Diceros bicornis minor: one gene and its partner. The protein of the gene in region 1 binds, or shares a complex with, the protein of each later gene. Links are inferred from orthologs where the notes say so. Each region holds a gene or a part of one and is shown on either strand. Other genes may lie near its edges.

Evidence for each region.
Region 2: the proteins of CCND1 (region 1) and AMBRA1 are in contact, whole or in part, in a cryo-EM structure (PDB 9IVD), measured with the Homo sapiens proteins. The link is inferred for Diceros bicornis minor from reciprocal best matches to the Homo sapiens genes CCND1 and AMBRA1. Residues at the interface, in NP_444284.1 of Homo sapiens: Thr286, Pro287, Thr288, Asp289, Val290, Arg291, Val293, Asp294, Ile295; in NP_001354397.1 of Homo sapiens: Arg54, Ser55, Phe57, Val73, His75, Arg96, Thr97, Trp99, Leu116, Ala139, Arg184, Ile945, Asn1012, Asn1029.

What each region holds. Positions count from the first base shown.
Region 1 is NC_080770.1:4,497,192-4,504,540, forward strand, and holds the start of CCND1 (G1/S-specific cyclin-D1), read right to left. Parts: upstream 3,033-7,349; 5' UTR 2,870-3,032; coding exon 2,672-2,869; intron 1,118-2,671; coding exon 902-1,117; intron 361-901; coding exon 201-360; intron 1-200. UniProt on the Homo sapiens protein: Regulatory component of the cyclin D1-CDK4 (DC) complex that phosphorylates and inhibits members of the retinoblastoma (RB) protein family including RB1 and regulates the cell-cycle during G(1)/S transition.
Region 2 is NC_080770.1:23,673,494-23,681,365, forward strand, and holds the start of AMBRA1 (activating molecule in BECN1-regulated autophagy protein 1), read left to right. Parts: upstream 1-4,830; 5' UTR 4,831-5,020; intron 5,021-5,061; exon of another isoform or gene 5,062-5,238; intron 5,239-7,872. UniProt on the Homo sapiens protein: Substrate-recognition component of a DCX (DDB1-CUL4-X-box) E3 ubiquitin-protein ligase complex involved in cell cycle control and autophagy.

The DNA of each region.
Region 1 (7,349 bases):
AGCCGCCCGCCCCCGGGGGGCAGCACCCCTCCATCCAGCACAAACCGCCCAAGCCCTCTGCTCAACAGAACAGAGACGGAGGAGCGCTTCCCAGGGCAGGCGGGGCCGGGGGAGCATCAGATGGGGAAACTGAGTCAGAGGGCAGGAAGCTCCGCCGGGGGACCCCCAGGGAGGCCGGGGCAGCAGGCCAGCCGCCCTACCTGTGGCGCAGAGGGCGACGAAGGTCTGCGCGTGCTTGCGGATGATCTGTTGGTTGTCCTCCGCCACCGGCATTTTGGAGAGGAAGTGCTCGATGAAATCGTGCGGGGTCATGGCTGCCAGGTTCCATTTCAGCTTGTTCACCAGGAGCAGCTCCATTTGCTGTGGAAACGGGGTGGACGAGCATAAAGAGGCGCGCAGGGCAGCCGCGGGGGCGGGGGGACAGGGGCCTGGAGAGAAGGGATGGGGGATGTCGGGCTCCAGGAAGAGGGGGACAACACGCGATCCCAGGTCAAAAAAGAGAAGGTGCCGCCGGCAAACGCTCCTGCTCACGGTTAAGCCGCCTGTTCCCAAGTGGACACAAAAAAGACCTCCCACACCCGGGACACGCCGCCCGGTCGTAAACGCGCTGCCGCCGCTAGAGGGCGCGCGCCGCCCACTTTTCGGGCGCGTCCGGGGCGCAGACGCGGTGGGAGTCCGAGCGAAAGTGCGAGGTGGGGCGGCGGGGACGGCGGCGGGGACGGGGGGCGCCGGGGGTCGCGCCGGCTCCTCGAGGCGGGGGCCCCCAAGCAGTGTGGCCGCCCGCCCTCGGGGCCCAGGGTCTGTCAGCAGCCGGCCGGGGCCCCCCACCTCTGCACCTCCCCCACCCCCGGGGTCCCGCGGCTACTGGGGCGTCGGTGGGCGGCGGGGGTCGCGGGGTTACCAGCAGCTCGTCGGGCCGGATGGAGTTGTCAGTGTAGATGCACAGCTTCTCGGCCGTCAGGGGGATGGTCTCCTTCATCTTGGAGGCCACGAACATGCAGGTAGCCCCCAGCAGCTGCAGGCGGCTCTTCTTCACGGGCTCCAGCGACAGGAAGCGGTCCAGGTAGTTCATGGCCAGCGGGAAGACCTCCTCCTCGCACTTCTGCTCCTCGCAGACCTGCCGGGGCACCGGGGCCGTGACCGCCGCCGCGCGCGCGCCGGGCCCCCTCCGCGGAGACCCCGCGCCCCCCACCCCGCGCGCGCCGGCCCGCGGGGCCCCGAGCGCGCCGAGGGTCGCGGCAGGGGGCCGCAGACGCTTCCGGGGACGCGCCCCCTCCCCCGGGTGTCCCCAATACCCACCCACCCTGAAACTGAAAGGGAAAGTCCCCGCGAGGCTGGCACGGCGGGGGCGGGAGCGGGCACGGCTGGGCGGCATGCGCCGCGCGCGGGCTGCCAGCCCCCGAGACCCCGGCCCGCGTGGGGGCTCCGGGGCCCGCCTGGCCGGGGGTCGGCACGAAACGGGGTGCGGGGCCGCGGGGCGGACCGCGGGGCCGGGCGCCGCGCTCGCTGCGCCTGCGAGACACAAAGGTGGCGTCCCAGGCCGCCGCGCCGCATTTCCCCAGACGTCATCTTTTCAAAAAATATTTAAAAATATAAAAAAATTATTTGAGTACATAAAAAACCCATGAAAATGACCCTCGGACGGCCCTTTACCCAGTCCGGGGGTCGGGAGCTCGTTGCAGGCTCGGGGGAGAGCCCCAGGAATTAAAACTCGGCCCCCCCCCCTCCCCTTGGGCGCGGGCGCCGCTTCCCTCTCGCAAGGGCACCACGCCGCACTTTCAAAAATTATTTTAAAATACTTGCGGGCGCCCCAGGCACCCACTGAAAGCCTGAAAATGTGACCCGGGCCCCCGGCTCGCTCCACACAGGTCCCCCAAGCTGAGACCCCTGCAGACAAGGGTCAGTCCCTAGCCTCCTGGGGGCCACGCGACCTTGCAGCCCGGCGTGCTCTCCGGCCCAGGCTGGCAGTGCGGGGCGCCCCGGGACTCGGTGCTTGAACAAAGGGGCCCCCCTTCCCGAGCGGGGTCCCCCCAAAACTGCCCGCGCTCTGTCCCCGCGCCCCTCCCGGCGGCCGCGCGGCCCCTCGCGGCGGCCCCAGCGCCTCGCCGGCCGCTCCCCGCCCCCACCCTGCCCCCAATTATTAATAAACACTTTTGCTTTGCAATAAAAGAACAAAGATGGCGCATAATACTGGCACGAGCGGCCCTTGCATACGTGTCCATGGGTATTAATTTAAAAATCAAATCTATGCCCCCTCCCCCTGGAGCTGGCGGCTCAGTGGCCGCGCGGCCGGGAGAGGAGGCACAGCCGGGCACGGGCGCAGGCGGGGGTGCGCGGTGGCGGCCCAGGAGGGGACCATAAGGGGCGCCCAGCCTGCTGGCCCGCACCCTCGAGTCAATTGGGGTGCCCCTGGCACGGGCTTTCCCCGAAGGCACCCCTCCCCGACCGCTCCCCGCCCCCCCCAGGAAAGAGTATTTCTAATTCCCCCACCCCCTCCTCGTGCAAAAAACACCCACAATATCTATGTATTTTGAAAATACGACTCCTAGCAACAGTCCCGCAAACTTCAAAGTTGGGGTGAGAGAGAAGGGAGGGAGACGAGTGGCAAAGAAATGTGGGTCTGAGCAACAAGTTGCAGGAAAGTCTCAAGAGAACCGCCGAAGCCCCGCACCTCCAGCATCCATGTGGCCACGATCTTCCGCATGGACGGCAGGATCTCCTTCTGCACACACTTGAAGTAGGACACCGAGGGCGCGCAGGTCTCCTCCGCCTTGAGCATGGCCCGCAGCACCCGGTCGTTGAGGAGGTTGGCATCGGGGTACGCCCGGCGGATGGTCTCCCCCTCGCAGCACAGGAGCTGGTGTGCCATGGCTGGGGCTCTGCTGGGTGGCCTGGGGCGGGCGGTGGGTCCCCGGGGCTCGGTCTGGGCTCGGCTCTCGCTCCTGCTGCCCCGCGCTCCCTCGAGCTCTTCTGCCCCTCGCCGGAGCGCGCGGACGCTGCTGCTCGCTGCTACTGCGCCGACAGCCCTCTGGAGGCTCCAGGACTTTGCAACTTCCAACAAAACTCCCCTGTAGTCCGTGTGACGTTACTGTTGTTAAGCAGAGATCAAAGCCGGGCAGAGAATGGGAGCGGGGGTGGGGGGGGCGGGGGCGGGCGCAGGGGGAGGGGGCGCGGGCGCCGAGCGCTGGGGAGCGGCGAGGGGCAGAGCCCAAAAGCCATCCCGGAGGCGCCGCGCCTGCCCCGCGGCGGAGTTGCCCCCGAAGCCCGGTTTTCATAGAAATGCAAATCGCCCCATGGCTGCCTTTCTCCCCGCTGGGGAAGAGGGGTGCAGGGGGGTCTGTCCTCCCCGAGTGGGTCCCCTGGGATTTTGAGGGTGGGGTGGAGGTGGCTCTGCAGAGAGGGACAACTAGGAGGGCGGGCAGGCCACACGCAGCCGGGGAGACCGCATGGAGGGGGGACTCTGGGGCTCGGCGACACCCTATATCCGAGCCGGGAGAATGGGCGCATTTCCGAGAACGCCACGAGGGCACCCACGGGCGAAGAGGCCGCCAAGGAATCTCAGCGTTTACATCTTCATTTTCATTAACACGTGTAAATTTCAGGAACCATTTAACGCTCAGGGACGTAGGGCAGAGCCCACACTCCCGGTGGAGGCTTCATTCCGGCGCACAGGGGGGTCGTTGCAAATGCCCAGGGGGTAACCCTAAACGTTAAAGGGATTTCAACCTAGCATGCGCTAGCGCAAAAAATAAAATAAAATAAATGCCCGAAAATTCCAGCAGCAGCCCAAGATGGTGGCCAGCATTTCCTTCATCCTGTCCTCCTCGCCGGGGGGATCTCCGGGCTGTCTTCCCACCTTAGGCAGTCCATCCTTGCGGGGGTCTCCAAATGCCCCCCCCACCACGTCCCGCCAATTTAACAGCTGGAAAAACACCACTGAATGGAAGGCTGCAAAACGGGTCTCTGTCTTGTCTCACTTTTTAATTAAAGAATAAATTAAATCGCTGGAACTATTAGTCGCCTCTCTGCCTGGGAGAAGACCACCGGAAGCGTCCTAATTGGTTTTGTTAGGGGTGTGGACACCTTATCACCTTTAGAATTTGCCCTGGGGCTGCATTCGTGAGCTTGAAGGGGATGGCAGGAGCTTGCAAAAAGTAGGACAATTATTAAGTTAAAGAAATGGGTGTGTTGATCTGATAATTTTAAACAAAATCTATATATGTTCGTGGTTTTATGAGAGGGTCCCCAATATTATCGCAACCTTCAGAGACATACAAAAGAATAAAGTGTTTTTTTAATCAAAGATTCTTCTTGGTGCATTTTTTTTAATAAAAAGACATTTTACCCAGTCTTAACATTTTTTTTTACAGTTTTTACACTACCTGCCCCAAATTAAGAAAACTGTTCATTTACTTCCCTCTGAATACAGTTTAGTGTCATCAAACCACCGGATCCCCTAACAGTAAAGACGCAAAGAAAACGGATAAAAAAGCCCCCTCCCCTTCACAAGGGCGCACGCAGCAAGATAAGACTCTCCGCCCTTTCGGGGCTGATTGTTCCTGCGCCCCCTCCCCCGCCGGGAATTAGGGTTACTAATATTCAGGGTCCGGGAGGGTAATTACCCCCGGCTCACGCCTCCGAAGTGGTGGGTGGCCCGAACAGGGAGCGCCCCCCGCCGTGTCCCCCTCCCCGGGCACCCACGCTCACGCCGGCCCGGGGGCACGGCGGAGCCTCGGAGCATCAGCCCGCGCACGAGGGCTGCCGACTGCTTTTTCATTCATAAAATCCCGACCGGGCGGCCGCCCCGATGATTTATGGGGCCGCGCGCTCTCGCCTGGCGACTCCCGTCCCGGGGGGCGTGGGGGCCCGAGCCTCGCGTGCGCCCCGGCCCTGCCCGAGGCGGGCGGGCGACAGCGAGGGGCAGCGGGGCATAAGGAGGCTCGCCCACTCCGGCAAAAGGGGCTCCAGGTCCAGGAGGGAGCTTCCCCCCAACCCGGGAGAAAGACAGAGGAAACTGGAATTAGCATGAGCCAATGGGGGCGCGGCGCTGTTACTAGGCGGACCGGGCAGATCTCGACGAGGAACTTCGTTGATTTCCCCGCTCAGGGACGGGCGCAAAAGTGCAAGCCCAGCCGGCGAGCGTGAAGAGCCGTCCAGGAACCCGCGGGGGAGGCGCTGGAATTTGGAGCCGGGCAGGGAGCTCCAGCCGCCCAGCCCCCACCCCGGGGAGCCCCGATCTGCGTGTCCCGGAGCCCCCGAGGGGGCCAACAGCCCCGGGCCCTGGAGGGCGATTGCTTCTAGGAGACAAAATAAAAATTTTGATTTTAATTTTTTTTTCCCAGAGAAAAGCAATTTTTAAAAAGTTTTCTGTTGCAGTTTTAATTTTTCACTGCCTTTAAAAACCCACCAAGAAGCGGGAACTGCGAATTCTGGGCTCTGCGCTTATTTCTTGGTGACCATTTGGAGACAAAAGGCTGGTGGCACAGTCGGGAGGGAAACCACTTTGATTGGAAAGAAAATCCAAAAGTAACTTAAATCACCTTCCCACTTTCCTCGCCCCCCGGCCCCCCACTGGGGCGACCACGGCCGGGGCGGATCGTCCACCCGGAGAGGGCGAATTCCGCGGCAGGCGCGTTTGCCACCGTCCCTGGCTGTGGGAATCTTCATTCAAGGCGGGGGAAGGGAGTGCGTTCATTCAGGAACCAGCGCGCCGCGGCGCCGACTCCGGGACGCACCGCGGCTGCGCGCTGCCCAGTGAGGGGCTTTGGGAAGGGGTTGCAGACCCCAGTGGAGACCTTCCACCAACGTTGACCTCTGACACCCGCCCTCTCCCCAGAGGACCGGGGCGGCGGGCGGGCGGGCGCAGCAAGGTGGGGTCACCTGCAGCCGCATACCTGGCGGCGACTTGAAAGGACTTGGCTCCGGCTCCGCGAGTTTTCCATTGTTAAGCCCTTAAGTAGCCCTGGAAAACGCTTCCGAATGTGGGCCGCGGGGTTCCGGGGCGCTTGGGCTCCCCTTCCCCCACGCTTCTCGCTTTGGGGGCACGCATGGCGGTCCACGTGCTGCGGTAGCTCCTGGGCTACGCGGTGCCGATCCCCCGCGCCCCAAAGCTGCGGGACGCGCTGGGGCGAACTCTGGCCCAGGCGCCCACCCGGGACAGTCACACGCTGGGAACGGGGGCAGCCGCACCTCCCACCGCCCCAAGCCACGGACGTGCGTTTCCGCCTCTGATCAGTTAATTTCAGGCACACACAGATTACCCCTCTTTCGCGTGCCCCCGTCCTGGGTCGGGCAGGCTGCGGGGCCGGGACACCCCTCCCCCACCTCTGAAGGCGGTGGGCGAGGTGTGTGCTGGAGTTAAAAACCAAACCCCAACGTGGGGGGGGGGGGGAGGCTGACTCCCAACGCCTCTGGGATCCCAAGGGAAAAGGTGCACACTTGGGGGCGAAAGAAGATTCTAACTCCTTGACCTCCGGCCCTCAAAACGCATCGCCTGGTGCCCGAAGCAATAGGAAACCCCAAAGTCTACTAGGAATTCCATGGCCTCTTGGCTCAGGCCCCTGGCCGAGTGTCGTGGAGTGGGCGCCCAGATTGAGAAAATAACCACCTCCAACCAAGGCAAAGAAATCGGACGGGAGGTGGGGGTAATGACCTAAGAGGCCTTGTCCCTCCCGCGTCTCCCGTGGCCAAGCAGGGCCGCGGCCTGCCCGAGGCGAGCAGACTCCCGCCCCGGACGAGGGCGCAGGGCGCTGCTGGGGAGACTCGCGGGGCCTCGGAAACCGGCGGCGGCGGCTCTCGGGAGCCGGACCTTCCCGGGGGCGGGCCCGCGCTAAGACCCTCGTCTCCGGCGGCGCCGCCGCCCCGCCCGGGAAGGGCTCGACGCCCCATCCCTCGCCTCCAGGACTTGTCACTCGCCCCCCCATCCCTGCCCTTTCCCGGGGACTGTCTGCGGGGAGGCCCCGCAACCTCGTGCCTTCCAGCCTGCTTCTTTGTGCCCTTGAAATGCCCCAAAACATTTCCATCCTTCGTCTTGGCCCTGGGGGTGGGTGGAGGGACGGTCGGGGGCTTTATTAGAGGGAATCTCCGAGTTCTGGGGCTCGGACACTTGCCAGGAGGGGAGGGGGAAAGGGATTTTTTTTTTCCAGGTGCGGAGAGAGGGGTTGCATACTTAACGCCCTGCACCCCTCTCCTTGGGTCCCTCGGCCTCGCGCCGTCGGGGCTGGTGGCAGGACACGGGTTTGGACCCACCGAGGAGTTCTGGGTGCGAGGGGTCTGAGGGGCCGATGGGCGGCGCTCCATCCCCAAGCCCCGCCCGGGTGCTTGTGCGGGGCTCAACCTGCCCCTGCGAG
Region 2 (7,872 bases), about 19 Mb from region 1:
ACACAATTTGAATGGAGTCACAGAGTGAAGACATATAAGAGGTGGGGAAAGGGATAAAATAAAAGCTAGACAGATAATAGACATACTACGATTGTATCCCTACCTGAAACAATAAACTGAAAACAACTCAAAGACTGGGCTCCCCAGTCGCTTTCCCTGGCAATGGAAGGGAAGTTCGGAGGAGGACAAGAAAGAAAGGAATCAAGCGATCTTAACAATTGTGCATGCACATATTCTTAGGACCCATAGTGCTCTCCAGATCCCACCCAGATTTTATGAAATTGTGGGTATAAGAGGTCAGGGACTCCAAATTAAGTAGGACTGTGTTGGTTGTAAGGATGGCAATGAGGGAAGGAAGGGAAAACACTTGCTGGAGGCTGGGGACACCCCAGTTCCCTAACATCAAGTTCACAGGCTTTTTGTTTTCTGTGACTACAATCTAAGACCCACTTTGTGACAATCAAATGGGAGAGAGAAAATCTTTGGATGCTAAACAGGAGCACGAAAAGTAGACCTTGAAATCGTAGGTTAGTAAATTTCAAAAAGTCCGTTTGAAAGGAATCTCCATGTTTACCCAGCCAAACATTAAAGATCTATCATTCTGTTGAGACTTTTCTAATCCTTACATATACACCTATCTTTATGGAAGGGCTGATTTCTTGGTCATTCTAGACTGTTAAAATGTTCATACATTTCAATCCAGTGATAAATCCCACCACTGGAAATTTATCCTATATCAATCATTCCAAAGAAGGAAGAGCCTTCTATCATTCTACTGTAAATGCTTACTTGCTGTTCTGGGATCTCCTCCCTTCCCTGGACTTCTCCTACATCACTAGACTGCTTCCACCTTTCCCAGCCAGCCCAAAGTGTGTATGCCCCACAGCCCCACAGAGCTATGAGACCAGGCTACAAAAGAACAGAATAGAATTGCAACAGCAAAACCTGCTACTGGCTCATCATTTTGGCTGCTTGAGGCCTGACTCCTCTTCCTGGACTTCCTAATAAGACGACTCATGGTACTGCTACAGAGTTACCTCATCCTAGGTTCAGGCCTGATTTCTACCACCCAGAGTGTGGTAGATGTTTCTCAGCTCCCAGAGCCAAGATAAGGAACAGACTTCTCCCCTTCTCTCCTTTCCCCTCTCTTCACCCTTCATCCCAGGCAATTCTCCCAGGTCAACATGTCCCAATCCTCTTTTCCTGGTTTAGACTTGCCAAATTTTTTTCACGTGATTGACAGTGGCTAGATCCATTCTTAGGGTGACCAACTGTCCCAGTTTGCCCAGAGCTGTCGCAGTTTTAGCACTGAAAGTCCTGTGTCCTGGGAAACCTCTTAGTCTTCAGCAAACTGGGACAGTTGGTCACCCTACTTCAGGGGAAGTGTGATCTTACCTCCAAGGGGATAGCTCCCAGAGGAGAATCTTATCAGAATACAATAATCAACAATCAAAATAATAATGAGTTATTGAGTCTTAATACCAATATGTAGGCATCAGTGGTACATCCCAGGATTATGTTTACTTCTGCCCACCTGGTTTCTTTTTTTCAAGTCTTCCTCCTGTGTGAGGAGATTCCTGTAGCTTTGAGGGTTTCAATTCCTGATCTGTTGATCTACTCTTCTGTCCAGATAGACTTCTCCATAAGAACAAGCAGTAGTTTGTGGTCACACTGAAGTCTAAATCCACACTAGAAAAGAAAGAGTTCTCTGAAGAAATTTATCTGTAGAGATGCAACTCTGCCTGCAGAATGAGCCGTCTTTTCCATGGTTTCACAGGCTAGTCTAAGCTTCTCAAATATCTCCATTTTCAGACGATGATTTTGGATTTATATTTGCATAACCTTCAGGTGTTTTCCCCAAAATAAAAGCCTCCGGCATTTAAAAAACCAACAACTTCTTGTGCCTTGAAGTTAGTTTCTTTAGTTTTTCTCACTGAAATCAAGGTTTCAAAATAATGTCGTTATCTGGGTCAAATTTGAATGAGGCTGTAACTCTACAAAGTTATGCCCCACAAGCCTCTCCAAGAAGGAAGCTTCTCTAAAGCCTGTGTTCTAGCAGTAGAAACTCAGCCCTGGGATGACAGCAAAGGAAAGTCTATTTGCGCACTCCTCATCTGGCTCCAGGAATGTGCCAGAGACTGCTTATTTAATTGTCCTCTTTTCCATTTGCCCCTGACTTTTACGGGTACATGGCTGCCCGGCATAAAGACTAACTCCCAGTTAGGTGTGGCTGTGTGACTAAATTCTGACCAGCGGCATATAAGTGGAAATGTCCTGTGCTATTTTCAAGATGTGTCCTTATGGCTAGGAGACATGCCTTTCCTCTTTCAGCTTCCTGCTGGGTGGAATGTAGACATGACGTCTAGAGCTAGAGCAGCTGTCTTGGACCTGAGATGAAAGCCACTTATTGAAGATGTCAATGCAACAAGATAGAAGCCTGGTCCCTAACACTGAACGGCCACACCTTACCCTAGGCTGTACATCTCTGGATTTCTTTTACATGACAGAGAAATAGACCGATACCTTGCTTCCTTACTCTTTTTGTTTATGTGCAATAGGTCTTAATAATAAATAATAAAGTTATAACTGCCTCTTTCCAAGATCATCAATACCTATTATGCAGAAAACGTTTGGAAGCAACATACAAATTCAACAATGGGGCTCATGGTCAGTATATCCTCTCAATGGAATATTGTGCAATTGTTAAAAATAACAACTACTAAAGACTTTAATAGGGAAACAATATAATGCAAAACAATAACAGTGTTGTATCTCTGCTTAAACTTTAATTAAACTTTAATTTATTTATTTGTTTTTCCCCCAAAGCCCCAGTAGATAGTTGTATGTCACAGCTGCACATCCTTCTAGTTGCTGTACGTGGGACGCGGCCTCAGCATGGCCGGAGAATCCGTGTGGCGGTGCACGCCCAGGATCTGAACCCGGGCCGCCAGTAGCGGAGGGCGTGCACTTAACCGCTACGCCAGGGCGCTGGCCCTCTCTGCTTAAACTTTAAAAAATTATGTAGGATATTTCCAAGGACTGCATGGGAACATGAACAAATTAAAACTTTGTGTTTTGGATGCAGATTATTAATTCTTTCTTTAGTTTTAGACTTTCGTAAATGTTGCTATAATGTTTACTGATTTTAAAAGTCTCCTAAAACAGTGGTAGACAACAAAAGCCCAGTGTTTTGTCCTCATATTATGGATGCTGTTTTATCTTCCATTATATATATGAGTTGTCCCTTCAGTATTTTCACGGACTTACAGGAGGAGATTTTTTTTTTTTTTTAAAGATTTTATTTATTTATTTTTCCCCCAACGCCCCAGTAGATAGCTGTCTGTCATAGCTGCACATCCTTCTAGTTGCTGTATGTGGGACGCGGCCTCAGCGTGGCCGGAGAAGCGGCGCGTCGGTGCGATCCCGGGATCCGAACCCGGGCCGCCAGCAGCGGAGCGCGCGCACTTAACCGCTAAGCCACGGGGCCGGCCCCAGGAGGAGATTTTTTTAAAAATTACAATAAATTGGGGTCAGCCTGGTGGTGCAGTGGTTAAGTTCGCCTGCTCTGCTTCGGAGGCCCAGGGTTCACAGGTTCAGATCCTGGTTGTGGACCTACACACTGCTCATCAAGCCATGCTGTGGTGACGTCTGTCCCACAAACAAAATAGAGGAAGATTCGCACAGATGTCAGCTCAGGGACAATCTTCCTCAAGCGAAAAAAAAAAAAAAAAAAAAACATAAGGTGGAGAATTGGCAACAGATGTTAGCTCAGGGCCAATCTTCCACACCAAAAAAAGAAAAAATCAAGTAAAAATAATTACAATAAATTGTAAATAAAGCTAATGTTGTAAGGATGGCGTCTTTCACTTTGATTAGATTATAAGCTCTTTAAGGGCTGGGACTATCTTGTTTCCTTTTTACATCTTTACTCTGCAAGTCTCCCCCCTCCTTAGGAGGAGGTACGGTCAACTGTGTTATTGCTCACACTTGGTAATCCATATTTGTAGTGATCTGACTATGTGATTTATTGAATTGTCCCTAGGATGCACATATTAATCCATATTTGCGCTAAGCATATTAGGTTGCCTACTAAGAGACTTCAGAAAGAGGCTATTGTGAGGAAGAAAATGTCAACACACTTTGACAGGTTCTGAACCCAAAGAGACTTTTGTTCATTTAGTAAGCACACCTGTGGTTCTAGGCCTTTGGAAGAAAATAAAAGAGAAAAGCAGTACGTATATTACTTTTTTTCCTGCCTTAAGGTCAGACTACACAACCCTGAATTTTCCCAGCTTCTCCATGCTATGCTTACAGGAGCTAAATTGGAGCTTTAAATAGAGATTATTCACTTTGTTCCTCAGTCTGGATTCTCTCTTTGTGCCTCTATCACATATATATCCTTTATTCGCTTCACCATTCTGTGAGAAACTGAGTCACTAACTCACTCACTACACTAACTCACTGTGCGAAAACTGAGTCAAATTTGCTCAATGGGATAGTTTCCGGAGCCCCTAAGGTAGTCGCTGAACTATAGTTAGATAACAAGTGTTATGTACTATGACTTAATCTTCAACACTCTCAATAAAAACTCCGGTTCTCTAAATAACTAAAACAGCCGGCAACCGACACAGAAAATGCCAGAAGCACAGACTCCTTTACTCCATGGCTTATGATCTGGGTTTGTTTGTTTATGCCTTGGACAGGAGCCGGACCTTGAGTCGGAGCGGAGCTGTTTTTCGGTGCTCGACTGCAGTTCCTTGAACGATCGCCTGCGCGCTCCTCCATTGATGTCTGGGGCGTTCGTGTATTCGGTGATCTTTTGCGCCGTCTTCTTGCTTGATGTCTCCTGAGGCGCGGCGGCGCCGGGTCGAAGGCTGACTTTTCCGCGAGGCCCCGCGCTCAGGCTGCTTTCTCCCGCTGGTCGGTGGAGCGGATCCCTTGCTACCTTCCTGCCTCTTCTTCCTCTCTGTGGCTCAGTCCCCCCACTGGGCAGCAAACTGACTCCCCGCCCGCCTTGCAGGTAGGCCTGGAGGAGCCTGGGAGGCTGGGCCCGGCATCCTTCCGCCGCCGGGTTGAGAAGACCTTGGCGCCGGCGGGTGGGCGGGCGGGTCGGCCGCGAAGACTCGGCCAGAGGAGGAGCCACCCGGCTGGGTTCGGGGGCGCGGTCGGAGAGGCGGCGGAGAACTGAGGGAGAAGCCGGAGAGAGGAAAAGATGTTGGGGCCGCCCAGTGTGGTTCGGTAGGGAGGGGTTGTTGGGTCTAGGGTGGGTGTCGCACCCCCAGAGTGTGGGGAAAATCGCTTTCCAGGAACGGATAGAGCTTTGCGCGCTTTGACCCTCCTCCCTTTCTTCTCCCCCCTCCCCGCCCTCAAGGCTCTGGGTGTCATGACTCAATTGCATTGGGGACCCCCTGTGAGTCCGGCCTTTGAAGGGACCCTTGAGTAGGTGGAGGCTTGTGGAACAAGGCCCTCTGGCTCCTCTGAGCGAGGTGTCGTGTTCTCGCCTTTTTCGGGTAGGGAAACTGAGGCTGAGGTCTGGGACGTGGCTTTGCCCCGTATCCCCGGCACATCTTTAACTGCACCGTAAGTCATTTTTTTGTCATTTGCCCGTTCACTTTTTTTTTTTTCATTTTACCAGTCAGTTTATGCACGCAGTGATTTGCCTTTTGATTATCTGTGTTCCCTCCTCCTTAGGAATATAGATTCTGTCACTGGAGACTTCAGAAGTAAAGAGACTGTGTGATCTTGTGGCCGGTTTTGCTTTTTAAAGTCTGTATCATTTTAGCGAGAGTAGCAATGACAATTTCTTTTTCTTTGTTGATAGAAAATTTAGTTTGCTGTCCAGTTTGCGTTCTGGTTGATACTTCGCTTCCTTCTCCTCAGCCTGTTTTTCAGTGAAAATCTTTCAACTGTGCTGTTGAGTAGTTAATGTCCAACAGAGGATGGTCAAATTTTGAAGTCAGATATCTGTCCTGAGAGAGTTTGCTTTCTAGGAAGAATCCAAAGGAAACCTAAGGAGTCTTTTTTGGAACAGATTTATCATATTTAATTAGTGGCTTAGTTACTGCATGTATTAGAGTTAAAAAGGCTGTGTGTAGGAATCATTCAAATATTGAGATATTTAAATTGAAAGTTAATATTCTGGGAACTCCAGTATGTTTTCCTTTTCTCTCCCAACTTGGAAACTTGGAGGACTAAGTGTTCTTACTCATTTTATTTTCATTGGATTTAGTGTCACGATCCTAATTCGTGTAACTGTTGAAAAAAATAATCAGCCTAGAGGTCATTCTAGGTTGAATAAGTATTTCCATGGTATGTAGAATCAGTAGGAGAATGGTTTTAAGGGAGAACAGACTAAATTCCTAGTCCTTGGGTGGAAACTATACAAATCTATGTTCCTTTAATAATTTCAGAATTCTCATATGAGTTTTGGAAAGATTATTTTTCCTCTAATTTTTTTCTTTTGGTGAATTCAGCAAGATTTAAATGAAGGGCCCTTGATCATGAGTGATTTTTCCTAGTTACCAGGACCTCAGTACTTCCAGAAAGGGATTAATGAAGAGCCATCAGACTATCTTTATGGAGAATCTAGATTGGGAAGTTAGGCTGAGAATGTGTGTTCTCTGAAAGATTTTTTATGATAGAAGAGAATTTATATCAGAGGAGAGACTTTAGAGAAGGAAGCACATTATCCCCTGGGGTTGGATAGATTCTGCATAGAATTTAGAGTTAGTATCTCAGTGGCTCCTAATGAAATGGAGTTTGCTATGAGTGTCACAAAGAAATGTTAGGAACATTTTATGTTTCTGTAGGAAATAATTAGCAGAGGTTTAAGTTGAATTGAAGAGGATAAGAAATTTGGTTGTAGTGGGGGGAGGTTACAGGGATACAGCTTCTTATCAGCTTCTCACCTGCTTTGTCATAGAAATTCACTCAACTTTTACCTTTCTTGGTTAAATCTTGTGTTCTGTCAGTGTCAGATCAAGCTCTCATTTGGCATTTCCTTTCCGAAATTTGCAGGTTCAGAATGTGACTGAATTATTCTATCTTCTCTTTTAGTAAGAAAGTTCTTGGGGATTATTAAAGATGTGAACTTGTTTGAATGTTTTCTAGAACTTGTCCTGGAAGGAGTTATGTATGTCGCTTGAAAAAAATTAGTTATGCATATCACTTGAAAACAGTTGGTTATTTTTATTAGCATGGTAATAACTTAATTTTACACCATATAATTTTCAAACTATTTTTAACATGTTAGAAAACTTATGAAACTTTTTTTCTTTTGATCATGCTCCTTATTAATACTGATCTAAACATTTATGGTCTTCAAGGATCTTCATGAATATTGGCAGTTTATGTTGACAATTTTTCTCGCTCTTCCTGTTTATCTCACTCTTTAAAGGAATTGAAGAAAAAGTTTTGTTGTTAACACACTGAAGTCTCTTTCTTTAAGATATGTCTCAGCCTTGATAGACTTATTTTGGAATGGAATACAAATCTTTTTGCCCAGTGGTTTGGTTTACCAAAAAAACCCCTTAAGTTCCTTTAATCATAGTCATTCTTGTTTCTTTCTCCAATTGTTCCTCATAAACCCAGAGAGAACTTTCTGTTTCTTGTCATAATTTCTGTTTGTACAAAAGTGCTATGGTACAACCTGTCCTGCGGTTTGCGGTAATTTATATTTTATATTTTCAAACCCCTTCTCCCTCCAAGTTAAATAGATGTATTTTTTTTTCCTTTTCGCAAAGCTAAAATTAGTTGCCGATAAAAATTTTGTGATCAGTTATTGTCAGAATGTATTTATGTGCCCAGTAGTATGTGGCAGTCTGCCAAAGTGATGTGGTAAGAAGAAAACAGATTAAGGAATCAGGAGACCTG